2 linked regions of the Drosophila melanogaster genome follow. The protein of the gene in region 1 purifies or fractionates together with the protein of each later gene. This does not show direct contact. Each region holds a gene or a part of one and is shown in the gene's direction. Other genes may lie near its edges.

Evidence for each region.
Region 2: the proteins of Pebp1 (region 1) and Naa40 purify together in Drosophila melanogaster (affinity purification with mass spectrometry, with the first as the bait; one large-scale study listed by BioGRID). This does not show direct contact.

Annotation. Positions count from the first base shown.
Region 1 is NT_033777.3:22,462,391-22,470,116, forward strand, and holds Pebp1 (Phosphatidylethanolamine-binding protein 1), read left to right. Parts: upstream 1-3,643; 5' UTR 3,644-3,700; coding exon 3,701-4,231; 3' UTR 4,232-4,289; downstream 4,290-7,726. Other genes in the region: AP-2mu (adaptor protein complex 2, mu subunit), read left to right, coding at 213-389, 458-896, 953-1,650; CG7054 (uncharacterized protein), read left to right, coding at 2,885-3,285, 3,347-3,485; CG5377 (uncharacterized protein), read right to left, coding at 4,756-5,592.
Region 2 is NT_033777.3:29,720,560-29,728,341, reverse strand, and holds Naa40 (N(alpha)-acetyltransferase 40), read left to right. Parts: upstream 1-3,391; 5' UTR 3,392-3,475; coding exon 3,476-3,846; intron 3,847-3,902; coding exon 3,903-4,140; 3' UTR 4,141-4,183; downstream 4,184-7,782. Other genes in the region: Kul (Kuzbanian-like), read right to left, coding at 1-237, 293-686, 757-940, 1,212-1,314; CG18731 (uncharacterized protein), read right to left, coding at 2,728-3,087; Pcd (pterin-4a-carbinolamine dehydratase), read right to left, coding at 4,196-4,495, 4,754-4,904, 4,986-5,113; CG34296 (uncharacterized protein), read right to left, coding at 5,452-5,678, 5,735-5,783; CG15506 (uncharacterized protein), read right to left, coding at 6,097-6,699, 6,910-7,185.

The DNA of each region.
Region 1 (7,726 bases):
TAAACACTTCTTTTTAAATAATTGTAAGACCGTATCACTTATGGTATATACTGACCTCGAAGGGCCACACTAAGGGGGAGTGAAAATTGATTTTCTGATAAAAATTTTCGCTTGAAGCTACAGCATCGTCCACTGTCCATGTATATATCTTATATTTGCATATAAATATATATATTACACCGACTTGGACTAACCATCAGATAGCGCACAAGATGATTGGCGGCCTGTTCGTCTACAACCACAAGGGCGAGGTGCTGATCTCGCGAGTTTACCGCGACGACATCGGTCGGAATGCCGTGGACGCCTTTCGGGTCAACGTCATCCACGCCCGCCAGCAGGTCCGCTCGCCAGTGACCAATATTGCGAGGACCAGCTTCTTCCACATCAAGGTCGGTGAACAAAGTTCCTATGTCACAATCACCAACCCTCCCACTTATCATCAAAACTCCTTTCACAGAGAGCAAACATTTGGCTGGCGGCTGTGACCAAGCAGAATGTGAACGCCGCGATGGTGTTTGAGTTCCTTTTGAAGATCATCGAGGTGATGCAATCCTACTTCGGCAAGATCTCGGAGGAGAACATCAAGAATAACTTCGTGCTCATCTACGAGCTGCTGGATGAGATCCTCGACTTTGGCTACCCGCAGAACACGGACTCCGGCACCCTGAAGACCTTCATCACACAGCAGGGCATCAAGTCGGCCACCAAGGAGGAGCAGATGCAGATAACCTCGCAGGTTACCGGCCAGATTGGCTGGCGTCGCGAGGGCATCAAGTACCGGCGCAACGAGCTTTTCCTGGACGTATTGGAGTACGTGAACCTGCTGATGAGCCCGCAGGGTCAGGTTTTGTCTGCCCACGTGGCCGGCAAGGTGGTAATGAAGTCGTATTTGTCGGGTAAGTTAGCATAAATAATCTAGACATTATTCCTTTTAATAATCGCCATGTTGTAGGCATGCCCGAGTGCAAGTTCGGGATTAACGACAAGATCGTGATGGAGTCTAAGGGACGCGGTCTCTCCGGAAATTCAGAGGCGGAAACCTCACGCTCCGGCAAGCCCGTCGTGGTCATCGATGACTGCCAGTTCCATCAGTGCGTCAAGCTAAGCAAATTCGAGACGGAGCATTCGATCAGCTTCATCCCGCCGGACGGGGAGTTCGAGCTGATGCGTTACCGTACCACCAAAGACATTTCGCTGCCATTCCGAGTCATCCCGCTGGTGCGGGAGGTGGGCCGCACCAAGATGGAGGTTAAGGTTGTGCTGAAGTCCAACTTTAAGCCCTCACTGCTGGGCCAAAAGATCGAGGTGAAGATACCAACCCCGCTCAATACATCGGGCGTGCAGCTCATCTGCCTAAAGGGCAAAGCCAAATATAAGGCTTCGGAGAACGCGATCGTGTGGAAGATTAAGCGCATGGCGGGCATGAAGGAGACACAGCTGTCCGCGGAAATCGAACTTTTGGAGACGGACACCAAGAAGAAGTGGACTCGGCCGCCCATCTCCATGAACTTTGAGGTGCCATTCGCGCCGTCCGGCTTCAAGGTACGCTACCTGAAGGTGTTCGAGCCCAAGCTCAACTACTCCGACCACGATGTGGTCAAATGGGTGCGCTACATCGGACGCAGTGGCTTGTATGAGACGCGCTGCTAGGGCGCCCAAGCATCCCCATCACGGAGCAAGATTATCACAATTGAATTTAACGAGATGAATGGAGAAAGTGTTACCGCATCTATTGGTATTTCCTCAATCAAATTGAACCAGCAGCTTATGTATTCCAAGATTAGTTCCAGCAAGTCCGGAGGACGCCCGAGTAGCGGATCCACCCCGGACACCCTATGCCGTATACCGCACACACTGCCTCCGCGAGCACTGGTTATGCGGGCGGGGCGTGTTCCCCATAGACATACCACTACTAGGTACTATGATTTACCCTACTATGTAAATGTAAACTATGTTGTTTTTATATGCGTCGCGGGACGTCTCACAAATCTCACGCTCACGTTTCACAACTCTAATTATTATTTGTATTATCGTATTATAAATATATATATATATGTATATTTAATCATTATTTTCATTGTGCAAAGAACAAAGGCGATAAATGCAACTAAGCGTATTTAATAGACCAAAACTCTGTCAGCGCTATCAATATTGATATTCAAGTGTTAATAATATTCGAATTGTTTAATAAATAAATTAGCATGATATATACTAAAAATGATGTGTTTCTCATTGGTGAAAGGGTATCGTTATATGGCTTTTCCCTATATCGAACTGATATGCCCAACAATAGAACGGAAAGGTACGATTACAACCTCATAAATGGGTGATATACAACTTTATGATCAGCCCACAAGTGCTGTCTTCGCTATCACGTGTGCACATTGGTTCAAGATCAGCTAAATCCTGAAATTAACGTCACAATTATTGATGATGTTCAACGAAGTGAAAACTAGTTTCTAGCCATGAATCATCGCACCAATGGAAGTGATCTTTGCGTTTTGGGAAAGCAAAAAAGGGCCTAAAAATGCCAGTTGGCATAAAAGCTTGCTTATCGTGGAAGGGGCTTTTCACAATTTTCCATCGGCGCTAGAAATCAACATTGTCCAATCAGTTCACCCACTGCGATAAAGTTTATTCCGCTGTGTCCATTAAACTATTATTTCTAGGTGTTAGCTGTTGCCAGCGCTGGATAGCCTTGACTGGTTTCGCCATCCAGATACTAATTAATTGGACTGGAAATTTTAATAAATCCGTAGATATCCGCTGAATCAGAGTGAAGCTTTTGCTTTGTTATCACCCAGCTGGCTTGGTCAGCAGAGTGATAACGCCACGAAAAAAAAACCGTATTATCATCTTTTTGGGCTGACACGCTACACGTAACATGGATGACATAGTACCCGATGTGCTGGATGCGGTTCCCGCTGGCACCATTAAGGTCATCTATGGCGATGACTTGGAGGTCAAGCAGGGCAACGAGCTAACCCCCACCCAGGTGAAGGACCAACCGATTGTCAGCTGGTCTGGGCTGGAGGGAAAGTCCAACCTATTGACCCTGCTCATGGTGGATCCCGATGCACCGACTCGTCAAGATCCCAAGTACCGTGAGATTCTGCACTGGTCTGTGGTCAACATTCCCGGCAGCAATGAGAATCCTTCTGGTGGCCACTCCCTAGCGGACTACGTTGGATCTGGACCGCCCAAGGACACTGGCCTGCATCGGTATATTTTCCTCCTCTATCGCCAGGAGAACAAGATCGAGGAGACGCCCACTATATCCAATACGTATGATATATATTAAGATATTTATCAGTTTACTGTGACACTGATCAATTCCCATTCACAGTACTCGCACAGGCCGTTTGAACTTCAACGCCCGGGACTTTGCCGCCAAACATGGATTGGGCGAGCCCATTGCCGCCAATTATTACCAGGCCCAGTATGATGACTATGTGCCAATTCGGAATAAAACGATCGTAGGCTAGATTTGTGCATATATCATGCAGGGTTTTCAATTCCCCGTCAATAAAGTTTAACCAATTGCTTATCTCGCTATCTATGCGTTGGGGTATTAACTGAAAAGTGCACGGAACTGATTAGGCGGCGGACTCCGTCGATAAAAGGCCAGACATCAGGGATCCGGGCCAGAGTCAACTCGCTAACGCTACACCGAGCAGAAGCAACAGAACTACCAGCTAACATGGACACCGCCGGCATTATTCCCGACATCATCGACGTCAAGCCCGCCTCCAAGGCCACCATCACCTATCCTTCCGGCGTTCAGGTTGAGCTGGGCAAGGAGCTGACTCCCACTCAGGTGAAGGACCAGCCCACTGTCGTCTTCGATGCCGAGCCCAACTCCCTGTACACCATCCTGTTGGTGGACCCCGACGCACCCAGCCGCGAGGACCCCAAGTTCCGTGAGCTGCTCCACTGGCTGGTGATCAACATTCCCGGCAACAAGGTGTCCGAGGGCCAGACCATCGCCGAGTACATCGGTGCTGGACCCCGCGAGGGAACCGGCCTGCACCGCTACGTCTTCCTGGTGTTCAAGCAGAACGACAAGATCACCACCGAGAAGTTCGTGTCCAAGACCAGCCGCACTGGCCGCATCAACGTCAAGGCCCGCGACTACATCCAGAAGTACAGCTTCGGCGGTCCCGTGGCCGGCAACTTCTTCCAGGCCCAATACGATGACTACGTGAAGACCCTCATCGAGACGGTCCAGTAATCTGGCCACCAACTGATCAGCTCTCTGTGAAATAATAAATATTAAATATGTACTAGTTCTCATAAAAGTTATCTCATACATGCTTGTGGGCGGGTCTTTTGCTATGCGATTTCCATAAGCAGCTGAAGTATATTTTTATAAGAATTACTTTTGATAACATTTCCGGAATTAATTTAAACTTGCCCGAGGCTTTGATATCTTTCTTTGAAGTTAAGTTTATAAAAGCGAGAGAAAGAAATGTTTATAATTAATCATTTATTTCCCTTTCGCTAAGTTAGGAGATATGGTTATTTTTCAATTTATTTCGAAATGATTCATTGAATAGATAACAATATTCTTTAACTTAGATATGAATTTGATTCATCAAAACTATCAGTTTCCTTTTAAAATTCGAACTTTGAACACCTGCATGCTCATTTCTGATAACTGCTTTCACATATAACGAATATCCATCCAACTTCAAGTTACCATTGTTAAACAAGTAATGAGTTTGGATCCATGAAAGCTTAAATATATTGGTTAATCTAGTTATTTTTGTTAAAGAAATCGGCCACCAGTTTGTTAAACTCCTCCGCATAACGTAAATGGATATTATGCTTCCCCTCGGGGAACTCATAATATTCCGCATGAGGCAAACGCTCCCTCAGCCAAGGAATGTGCTCCGCTGCTATCATGGGATCCTTCTTTCCGTGGAGTATAAAAGTAGGTATCTTTATTTTCTCAACTTCGGTGCGACAGAAGTCTCCATCCCGTTGGTCATAGAAGGCGCATGCGGCGTCCACCCATTCGGCCCACAATTGGGGGAATCTTTCGACGCCGTAAACCTTTTCCATGGGCTCACGCATGCGCGGCGACCACTTGGCCACATCCCGAATGTTCTTAAGAGCCTTGACTTCGTCAGCGTTCAAGTAGGCACCTGCTCCCCAGATTGCTAGGCGATCCACAGCTTCCGCATGGCGACCTGCGACTATGAGCGCCGTGATGCCCCCATCGCTCCAGCCCAAAATGGAGAAGCGTGGTCTGTCCAGGGCACGCATCAAATCCACGGCTGCCTGGGCATCCTCCCGAAAGAATTCAAGGCCGAACTTGCGCTGCGGCGGCACTGATTTGCCATAACCCGGCGGATCCCAGGCGATGATGGTGTGACCCGGCAGCAGTTTCGGCAGCTGCTCGATCTGGGGCCTAAAGTCGGTCCACGAGGAACCCAGTGCTCCCGGCATCAGGAGTAGACTCCGCTCCCCACTGCCGCTCTCCACAATGTTCAAATCTGAGCCATTCACACGAACTTTCCGCTCCGTGTGCAGCAAGCGCCTGGTGATCGGGGAACGGGCACCCACAAGCCGGCACAGATTGCCCAGCATTACGTAAGCGGGATCTAACGGGGATTTTGGAGTATGGCAACAAACTTAGCTGCTTCTCAAGGGCTCTTCAGATGTCCAGAGAGGAATATTTGGCAAATTCTAATCTTTACACACGACGCCTTGTAAAGTGCACTTGATAAAGATCCGTTGATAACAGCTGATTGATAAGAACAGCTGTAAGTAAACGATCGAATTAGTGTGGCTGTAGGTGCGATGATGCCATATACCGTTAAATCAAAAGTAAATATACCAAAAAACTAATTTTAAAAGAATCGTTAATTTTTTAATAATTTGAAAAATATTTTCATATTGATATTTAGGCATTGGGTGATGCACTTGCATTTTTAAGAATGTTCCTGAAATTTAAAAGATTTTTCCATTCATTTTGAAGAATATTACTTGACAATGCCGAACTCTCCACAGATTTTAAAATAATGGTAGTTTAAAAGCCCTTGAAAGTTCAAGAGCTGCCGCTCAGTTTGATTTTAAGCTTTTCGCTCTTCCCCCAGCTTTTGGCATTCCCAATCTTAGTCCTTGTTAGTCCACTTGAACGTCACGACTCCGAAGGACAATGGACAGCACGTGCTGGCATTTGTTTAGCCTTTAGCGTGCGTTAAAATATTATTAAAAACCGTAAGTGCTTAATAGCAGGATCCTGGTCCCTGCTGTAATGGTCAGTGCGTGATTCGTGTGCTCAAATTAATGTGTTCGCCTGGACTGCGACGACGATTAATGGAGGCGACGGCCTTGCAATTGCTCTCCTAGGACGAAGGAGCAGGGTGATGGGATTTGACAGAGGCAGGACATACACCCACAATCGAGAGTAAGGGACATCACATTCCACTGCCAATGCAAATGCAAATCGAATTCGACTCCGAGATGTCGAAGTTGCGTAGTAAATGTCAAGGAATTTACACGGGTCGTCTCGGAGATAGTGAGCCCGGGGGGGTGTCAGCTTGAGTTGGTGTGTGTGAGTGTGCGTGCGGCCACAGGACACCCACGCACACAGCTGAACATGCATATGTGTGTATCCATGTGAATGTGGCATCTAATACGCTTTAGTGGTGCAGGTTATGAACCTGCGTGCTATTCGCTTATTACGCATGTGTGAGTGGGCAGCTGGTGTCTATGTGTGCGTTTGTGTGTTAGTAGTACACATATGCATGCCTCGTGCGAAGTAAGCGAGCTTTTAATTTTTGGCATTCCCACACACTACACTCAAAGCGTGCGGTGCTTTCCTTTTCCGTAGCACACTTTTTCGGGTAAATCAACAAAGTACCAATATAAACCATTAAATTCAAGATTTCCAGTAATTCTGAACGATTTTAACTTGTCTAAATGTAAAATCAGTAGTGTGAGGTACAAACTCCTTTGTCCAGTTCGATTGTAGTGCCATTTTCGAGTCGCCTAGACCGCACCAGTGGCTTTTTGTGAATAAGCTGGCGGAGCTTTCGTTATCCATTGGAAACAGTGCGAAGAAATTAAGTTTGAAATTGCAGTTCAGTCTTGTCGTGGATGCAGCGCGGATCGATATCGGAGCTAAAAGCAGCGGAAGGCGCTGCTAAGCAAATTTCGACACACAACATTTTTGTATCCCTCGAAATTGAACCGAAAAATCTGCAAAAATAAATTCAACCAACCAACAAAAACGAAAAGGACGCGTCGCGCTAAAATCCAGCCCGAAAAGTTACATAAAGCAGGAGCGACAAGAATATCGTGCAAATTCAAAGGAATAATTGTGTAATTGAAAAATCTGTGTGCAGTCTCTGCAACTAATTTCGTATCCAATCAATAGTTCAATCAATACGCATAAATAACTGATTGCTGTGGAATCAACCGCAGTAAAGCGCCCATTTTAGGGGCACTTGCTGTGAGGTGCTTAGAAAAATTTTCGCCTACATTTGCGATATGCAGTGAAAATTTTTTCCGATTTTTAGTATGTACATGTACGATGGAGCGCTCGTGGGCGCCACAAACTGCGGTGGCAGGGGTATCCGGCGAGCTTTTGGCCCAACCATAACCCCCAGTATTACTAATACAGCCGACTCGGTCGGAGAAACGGTTGTCTGACAAAGTATCGATGCAAAATATGCGCCGTTTTGAATTTAATTGCCAAAAATTATGCAAATCAAGT
Region 2 (7,782 bases), 7.3 Mb from region 1:
GTTATTTACAAGTATGTTGCGGTTCGACGTGGGCTTAGTCAGAGTGGCCAGGAAGCTCTCGGTGCTGCGCACAGTGCTCCTGGTTGTGGACGTGGTCGGGTACTTCCGCGGCGACTCCTCGCTCTTGTCCTCTTCGGAGGCCAGGACGCGAAAATCATCGTTGTACGGCACCTCCAAGTCCAGCGGCAGGGGCGGATTACGATTGTACGTGGGGGCCGGAGCATCCGACATGGCCAGCTAAAAGGTGAGATTCATTAAAATGGGATTTAGAGTGCATTCTTCGGATACTCACCTCCTCTGGCAGCCACCGCTTCTTCCTCAGCTTTTCGCTGGCGCAGTGCGTCTTGGCGGGAGTGGCGGAGTTGAGTCCTCCGCCGGTGAACTGCTGCTTCTGCATATTTACATCGCTTAACTTATAGACTATGCTGTGGACACCGCTCTCGGCTAGCTGCTGGGAATACCGATGCGCCGGCTCGATGTAGTAGTGCTCCGCCTGGGTCTCTATCGTGCCGTCCAACAGGTTGTCGCTGGTGAGGATCGCCTGGACGTGGGCCGCCTCGTCGTCCTCCAGGCTGCCCGTATAAATGCGCGACACATCGTAGTCGATGGGGCCCAGAGTGTTCTCGATCTCCACATCGTGGGCGAACACCGAATGCGGCTGTTGACGCAGCACCAAGCGGAAATCTCTGCGTGAGGAAGGCGGTTTTAGGTGATTAAGTGATTACCTTTTCGGCTGGCGATATCGAGTGCACTCACCTGTCGTGGGCGGAGAAATTCAAGCGGATGGTGTGCGCCAGTCCACTCGCCGAGGGGGTCACCTCTCTCTTCTGCCGGAAGCGAGCCTGCTCCAGGTGCCTGACCTGCGCCGCCTGCAGCACCTGGCGATCGAAGTTCGCCGCCTCCCAGTGCTTGATGTAGGGCGTCAGCCTGTGGGTGTAGCCTGTAAGAGGAAGGGGGCATTTTAGGGGTTAGTGGGAGCGGGAGAAAGCTGCCAGCGGCGATGACAAGATGAAATTTCTCTTAACTAAGTGATGAACAAATTTGTGGGTAGGCTATAGAAAGCAACTGATTAAGAGGATTACAGTGTACTTAAGAAAACAAATATTGATACGATGATGATATACAAATAGCATATTTGAGGAAGCCTCTTTGTAAAAAATCAGATTGTTTAATTTTTTAGATTTTGGGTTATCTTTTAAAGCCCGACTCACCTGGCAGCTTGAGCGGCGTGGGAATGGCCAGGATCTCGCCGGGCAGCCACAGGAGCCAGAGGAACAGGACCTGGAGCCCGAGGAGGCCCAGCAGCCAGCTCATCGTGGGTGCGATCCGGGTGCGATTCTAGATGGCCTGGACTACTCGAAGGTTGTGTTTTTCGAACTCGACCCCTGCTGCTGCATCACATCATTTGTTATTCGTTATTTGTTATTGTTGTGGGATTCGCTGCGAGGAAGTGGCTCCAATCGGTGACATCTCCGCGGTAACTGGAGGAGTGGAAAAGTGCAGAATGCGGAGTGGAGAGGTGAGAATCTAGAACGGTTATGATCGCGAGATGATTGCATTAACGGTCCGTGGCACAAAGAAACTGCATTGCGTATACGCCGTGTGCTCGCATCTCCAAGTGGCTTTCACCTTTTACGTGAAATCTTTTGTTCAGCTCGAAAATCTGTGTATTTTGTTCTGTTTTTTTTTCGCTGTTTTGCGTCTTTTTGCATAAATGGCAAAAGCAACAAACGGCAAGAAGAAGAAGAGCGTCACAGCATCTCATTAGCACCTCACACACATACACACACGAAGCAGTGTCGCTCGCATTGGTGTGCCCGTGAAAAATACTGTTAGTTAGGCGCTCTCTTCGCCACTGCTTCCCTCTCTTACGCGCAAACCTATTGGCCAATGAAATTAAATGCATTCTTTGACAACCGTTTAATTGGATAATTATTGTTTTTGCCCAACAATCATGCGTGTGTGTGTGTATTCTACCTGAGCTTTGGGCCAAAAAAACCCCCACTGCTCTCCCCACTCTTTCTACTCGTTGCTCGCTGTTGTTGTTGCGCTGGTCGAAAACCAAAATAAAATACACGTAAAATTCAATTAGCCACAAATTGTTGCACTCTTTTTTTCCGTTTGCGTTAATTGGATTTGCGGAATTTAGCCAAATATATTGGACCAAACACACACCACACACACACAGGGATAACCATCGACCTCCGTTAATGGCGTAAATGGTATAAGCCAGTCGCAGGTTTTTTTTTCTATTTTTTTTTTTTTTTCGTTGTTGCCACGGCCTAAAACCTGTTCTTCTGCCCAATCATCCAGGCCTAAACCGAGCGAATTTCACGACTAATCGTGCCGTTTTAGGACTTTCTGATCTGTTGATCTATGTTTTGATTAACTTATTTGCTTGGCTGCTTACTTTTCACAGTCACTGGAGCAATTGCATTACAATTGCTTTTTCTGCGCTTTTAACAACTTTTTTCGACCACCTTACCATCCACCAAGCAGTGTGACCACACCGCGCATTGACCGTTAAAATGTCAGGCTCAGAAAAATACACCTCGCGGTTGAAAAATATACCGCAAACGTACTTTGAGCTGAAGTTCTAGCCGGGACTCGAACCACAGTGCAGTGGGCCTAAAGTGAATATTCTCAAGATTGTGGAGTTTTTAGGTTTTACTTGTTACCCGCTCGTGCATTCAACAATAGTTTAAGATAAGGTAGCTTAATGATAGATTAACATTTAAGGGCTTCTTTGACCAGTGCCTGCTGCTTTTGGATGTCCGTTCTCAGTTTATCCGCGTTATTTTCCAGCTTCGCATAGCATTCTTTTAACTGATTTCGTTGGGTCTCCAGATCTCCCACGGTGGCCGACAGTTTCTTCACCTTCTGATCGTACTCGTCGAACATCTGCCACCATGTTGAAAGGGGAAGATTCTCTGGTTCAGTCATGAAAGCGTGCTCCAAGTCCAAGTTGTCTGTAGATCCGCTTATCGTAGGCTGATTGACCTCGAACGTTTCCATGTCCGCCAGCATTTCCTCTACACTGGGAGCCGTGGGTGGAGGCTCTACTTTGGGCCTGGACTTCCTAAACATCGTCTGTTTCCTTGAAACTACAATTTAGAGAACTGGAAACGTCAGCACTTGTTGAATTGGGGATTCAATATGTGGGGTTACCTGATGTATCGAGTCTCGTAGTCTTAGTGATATTAAGGTTAATTATCGTACTAACAATTTAGTCTAAAACCCGTATATAAGCCGTAAAATGGAATTCAATAAATTTTCTGCAATTGTTTACAAAACAGTGGTAAATAATGAAGTGGCCAGTAATTATTATTTCAAAAATACCAATTAAAGTTAATCTGTGTAATCGATAGCAGTCTCTATATAAGCAATAATAGTTTGTTTACCACTGTGTGCCATCCCTAATTTGCGCGGCATATTTTTAGTCGAATTGCCATTTTTACAAAATTTTAAGCAAACAATGCGGAATCAGGACGATCTAAGTCAGGGCGCCAAACAGAGATTTGTGGAGACGGCTGCCAGGGCCAAGAATCCCCTCGAATCTCTGAGCTACCAAAGCTACAAAGCCCCCAGCGGAGAGGAATTCAAACTCATCTGCCGAGCGAAGTCGGATGCGGACTCCAAACTGCTGAAATGGGCCTTTAAGCTGGCCGAGACGAACGTGGGACCCTATTACAAGCAACTCAAGATGGGCTGGCAGCCCAAGATCAAAGCCGCCGAGCTGAACAAGAACTGGGCTCGCTACTTGGTGGCCCAGAACGAAAAGAAGGAGAACGTGGCCTACGCAATGTTCCGCTTCGACATGGATCACGGGGACTGTGTCCTGTATTGGTGGGTATTCCATAAGTAAAGCCCTTATGCATTAATTACGTAGAACTTCCTTTCAGTTACGAAATGCAAGTGGCTGCAGAGTATCGTAGAAAAGGCCTGGGAAAGTTCATCATGAGCACTTTGGAGGACTGCGCTCGCCTGTGGCATCTGGAAAAGGTCATGCTGACCGTTCTCAACAACAACGAAGCCTCCATTTCCTTCTTCAAGCAACTGGGCTACGTCAAGGACGAGATCTCGCCAGATGTCCTGGAACAAGCCGACTACCAAATCTTTAGCAAATCGATGCTAAGCTGAGTATTTATTGGACACCGAAGATTATAGATATTTAGCAACTAGTATAACAATGCGTTTATTTCAACAAATTGGCCGTGGTCTCCAAGTGCGTGGCCATGCGAATGTCCTGCGAACTGAGACCGCCCACGTCGTGCGTGGACAGGGTCACGTCCACCTTGTTGTAGCAGTTGAACCACTCGGGATGGTGGTTGATCTTCTCGGCCAGCAATGCCACGCCCGTCATGAAGCTGAAGGCCTGGTTGAAGTCCTTCAGCACGAACTGCTTGAAGATGGCGTCGCGCCCCTCCACCAAAGTCCAGCCGGCGTCCAGGAGGGGCTGCAGCTTCTCGGCGCGTTCCTGTTCGTTTAGTCGTACCTAAAGGGCAGCGAGCAACAAGTATGTGAGTGTTATTGATTCATACGATATATATACAAAATAATTTGTGAGCGAAAAACCTCCATTTCTGGCCAAAATCACAGTGATTCTATTTGTTAGGGCATAAAGCACTTTCCGAAAGTCCAAACCTGTCCTTGGGTGGTCGATTGATTTCAGTTGGAGGCGATAAGGGAACCACTCGATTTCGCTGAGACTCCGTTCACCTTGATCTCAAACTCACTTTCGGCTCGTACTTACCACCATTTTGCGCTTTTTCGCTGTGATTGCGGTTGCTGTTGCTTCTGTGGTTGGGGTGTTGTGGATTCTCCGGAGATTCGCACTGCCACCAGTTGCTGCCCGTGCTGCTTCTCTCGCTGCTGGCGAATACAGAACTGAGATTTGCGACAGGCTGCGCGAAAAATAAAGCTCAGATTTAAGTTTGGTATTTTTGCCCCTCCCTCCCCTTCCGCACATTCCACCTTTTGAATACCTTCTACTCGTTGCTGTTGTTGCAGTTGTGGGGAATAAACCAGCTCTGCGGCTGCTGGCAAGCAGATTGGCCACTTTCTGGCAGTTCGGCTTAATCACATTCTGAGCGCATTTAATTGTTAACAACATTTTCGATCCAAAACTCGTTTGTTCTTAGCTGCTGTTTTTGTTGCTGTTGCTGTCGGCGCGGAACAGCTGACTTGTGTCGTATGTTAGCTAACATTGAGTTAACATGGAGCTGTAAAAACTGCCAACTTGTTTTGACAACGTCTGCTAGCAACATAACTGTTATAAAGTCTAATGCCGCGTAATTTGAATTTAGATTTCTTATTGGATTTCTTATTGATTTCTAGAGATTTGACATACAGTTTATTTATTAAATGGCCTTCTCTTACATTGTTATGACATTAAAGTCGCTCTGATTATATCAAGTGTTAATATATAGTCATATGGCTGGAATATGACTATTACTTGTGCACCACATTCTCCGTCTCCCCATTTCCGTAATAGTCGTAATCCGAACTGGCGGTGGAAGTGGCCAGCTTGGGATGGTCGGTGGTGGTGACCGTGTTAACGGTTGATCCACTGGATCCAGTGACCACTTCAGGCGCCACAGTGGTTGTCTTCCTCCAACGCAAGCTATAGCGACTGCGAATGAACGGCGGCTTGGTCACCAAAACCGAGTCACCAATCGCTGCATATTGGATATTGTTATTCATTGGGTATCCAAAGACCAAAGTTGTAGCTCACCCATTCCGATGAGGCAACAGCAGAGGATCAGGAGCAGGGCCAGCTTCATTCTGAGTTCCCCTTTCGATGTTAACTGTAACTTTTCCCGGCAACTCGACTGCCTTTATAGTCCCATCAGAGCTGAGATAAACGGCTCCCAATTCCCCGACGAAAGCGAAATCGTCCCCTGGTTTCCCTGGGGAACTGGGGAACATCCATCCAAGTTCAATCACCGCCAGTGCGATTTTATGTTTTTTATTCGTTATCTCTGAATGAACTCTTACTTTAGCTTACGGGTTAAGGCGACATTGTACAATCGAATCGATATTATGCCTAAGCGAAATGGTAATAAATACGTGTGTGGAATTTTGGTCAGCCCGCAATCAGTTGTCCGTTTCCGGTTTGCGTTCCGCTTCCGGTTCCGGTTCCGGTTCCGCGGGCCGTGGACGCTTGGGTCCGGAGGGTATTGGCGGAGGTGGAACATCCGGCACCGCGCTGTTTTTGCTCTCCGAACCGTTGCGAATGTCCTCGAAACTGGGCTGCGCCGGCTCCAGATTCTCCAGGGGAAGTGGCTGTGGCGAAGGTGGACTCTGGACGGGATTCAGTGGCTGTTCCTGCTCCGCGCGCGGCAAAGTGGCTGCCCGCAGGGGATAACCCTGGCTGGGATAGTAGTCGTACGGCGGCAAGTAGTTCTGCCTTATGAAGCCCGCTTGGTCATAGATCACTGGATACTGGCTGTAAGGATACGGTGGCAGGTGCATGGGTTGGCCTCTGAACTGGGAGGGCAGTGGTATCAGCACGGGCGGCAATCCCTGCTGATTCAACGGCACTGGCATCTGCTCCTTGGGCATCTCCTGGCGCTCCACGGTTCCGGGTGGCGACGCCGACTGCGGCTGCTGCTCCACTGGCGCCTCCACCGGTTGTTGGGGTTCATATGGAGCATAGCCAGCGGGATACTGGGCGGCAGATGGCAGAGGGTAAGGGAGCTGTAATATTAAGGTTTCAATAGTTTAAACTACTATATTTCTTTTTTGAGTGCGGTTCATTGCTCTAGTCAGAGATTTCTAGAGTGAGCTTTTTATGATACCTATTATTAAATTAATCATTGTCTTATTATAGCTAGCAGTAATTTAATCTTGCGAAATATTTCGCTAAGTTTATCAGTGTTAGCAACTTAATGAAACCCATAAGCTCACCCTCTCATTTGGCGTCAATCCCGGGACAATCGGTTGGCCGAATCTCACAATCGGCGGACTGTAGAATCCGTAGGGATTGTAGGGTCCAAAGGGGGCGTAGCCCGGCTCGTGAATGGTGGGCTGGATGACCGGATAGGCGCGGCTGGAGGTCAGGTTGTCGTCGGTGGTGATGAGAGCGTTGTAGACCTTGGGCTTCTTCCTCAGGCGACGGGCGGCCAGCGAGGAATCGGTCCACAGAACAAGTCCCAGTAGCAGTAGGAGAATCAAAATGGTGTGCTGCCGAGAATAGAAATCGAAATCGAAGTCGGCGTTTATATATTGTGCATATAGAAGTAGATACAAGTGACCATTGACAGCTGTCCCTGGGTTTGTCACTACTGCTGCTGGATGGCGATCAATGAAAACCATAATCTGTCTAATTGATCGCCATATCGACAATCAATCAATGAATTGTTTGGACTACGCACAATGTGTGCTTGTGCTGGACGGAAGTTGTGCAGCTGGAACTCTGGGTGCTCTACAGGGAAGCTTGTTAGTAATGGCTTTAAAAAGCCAGGTATTACGTGTCTGTATGGACTATATGGAGTCAGAAGAAACCCACGACTTTCAAATACCAGCACTGCAGTCGTCGAAACAATCAACACATGTCAGCCTTTGTTGCGAATTCTCTACACTTCATTAGTTTTGAATTGAAATGTAGATTGTTCCTTTAATTGGATTACGGAGTAGCCGATCGAACCGGACGGCGCTGCTACCTCTTACACTGAGCGAAAAAAGTCTATTCAGAACGTGTACATCGTTCACTTGAAAAGGTTAAGGCATACTTCATTTCTACATTCCATCTTCTATTGAGAACCAATTCTTTTGCCAGTG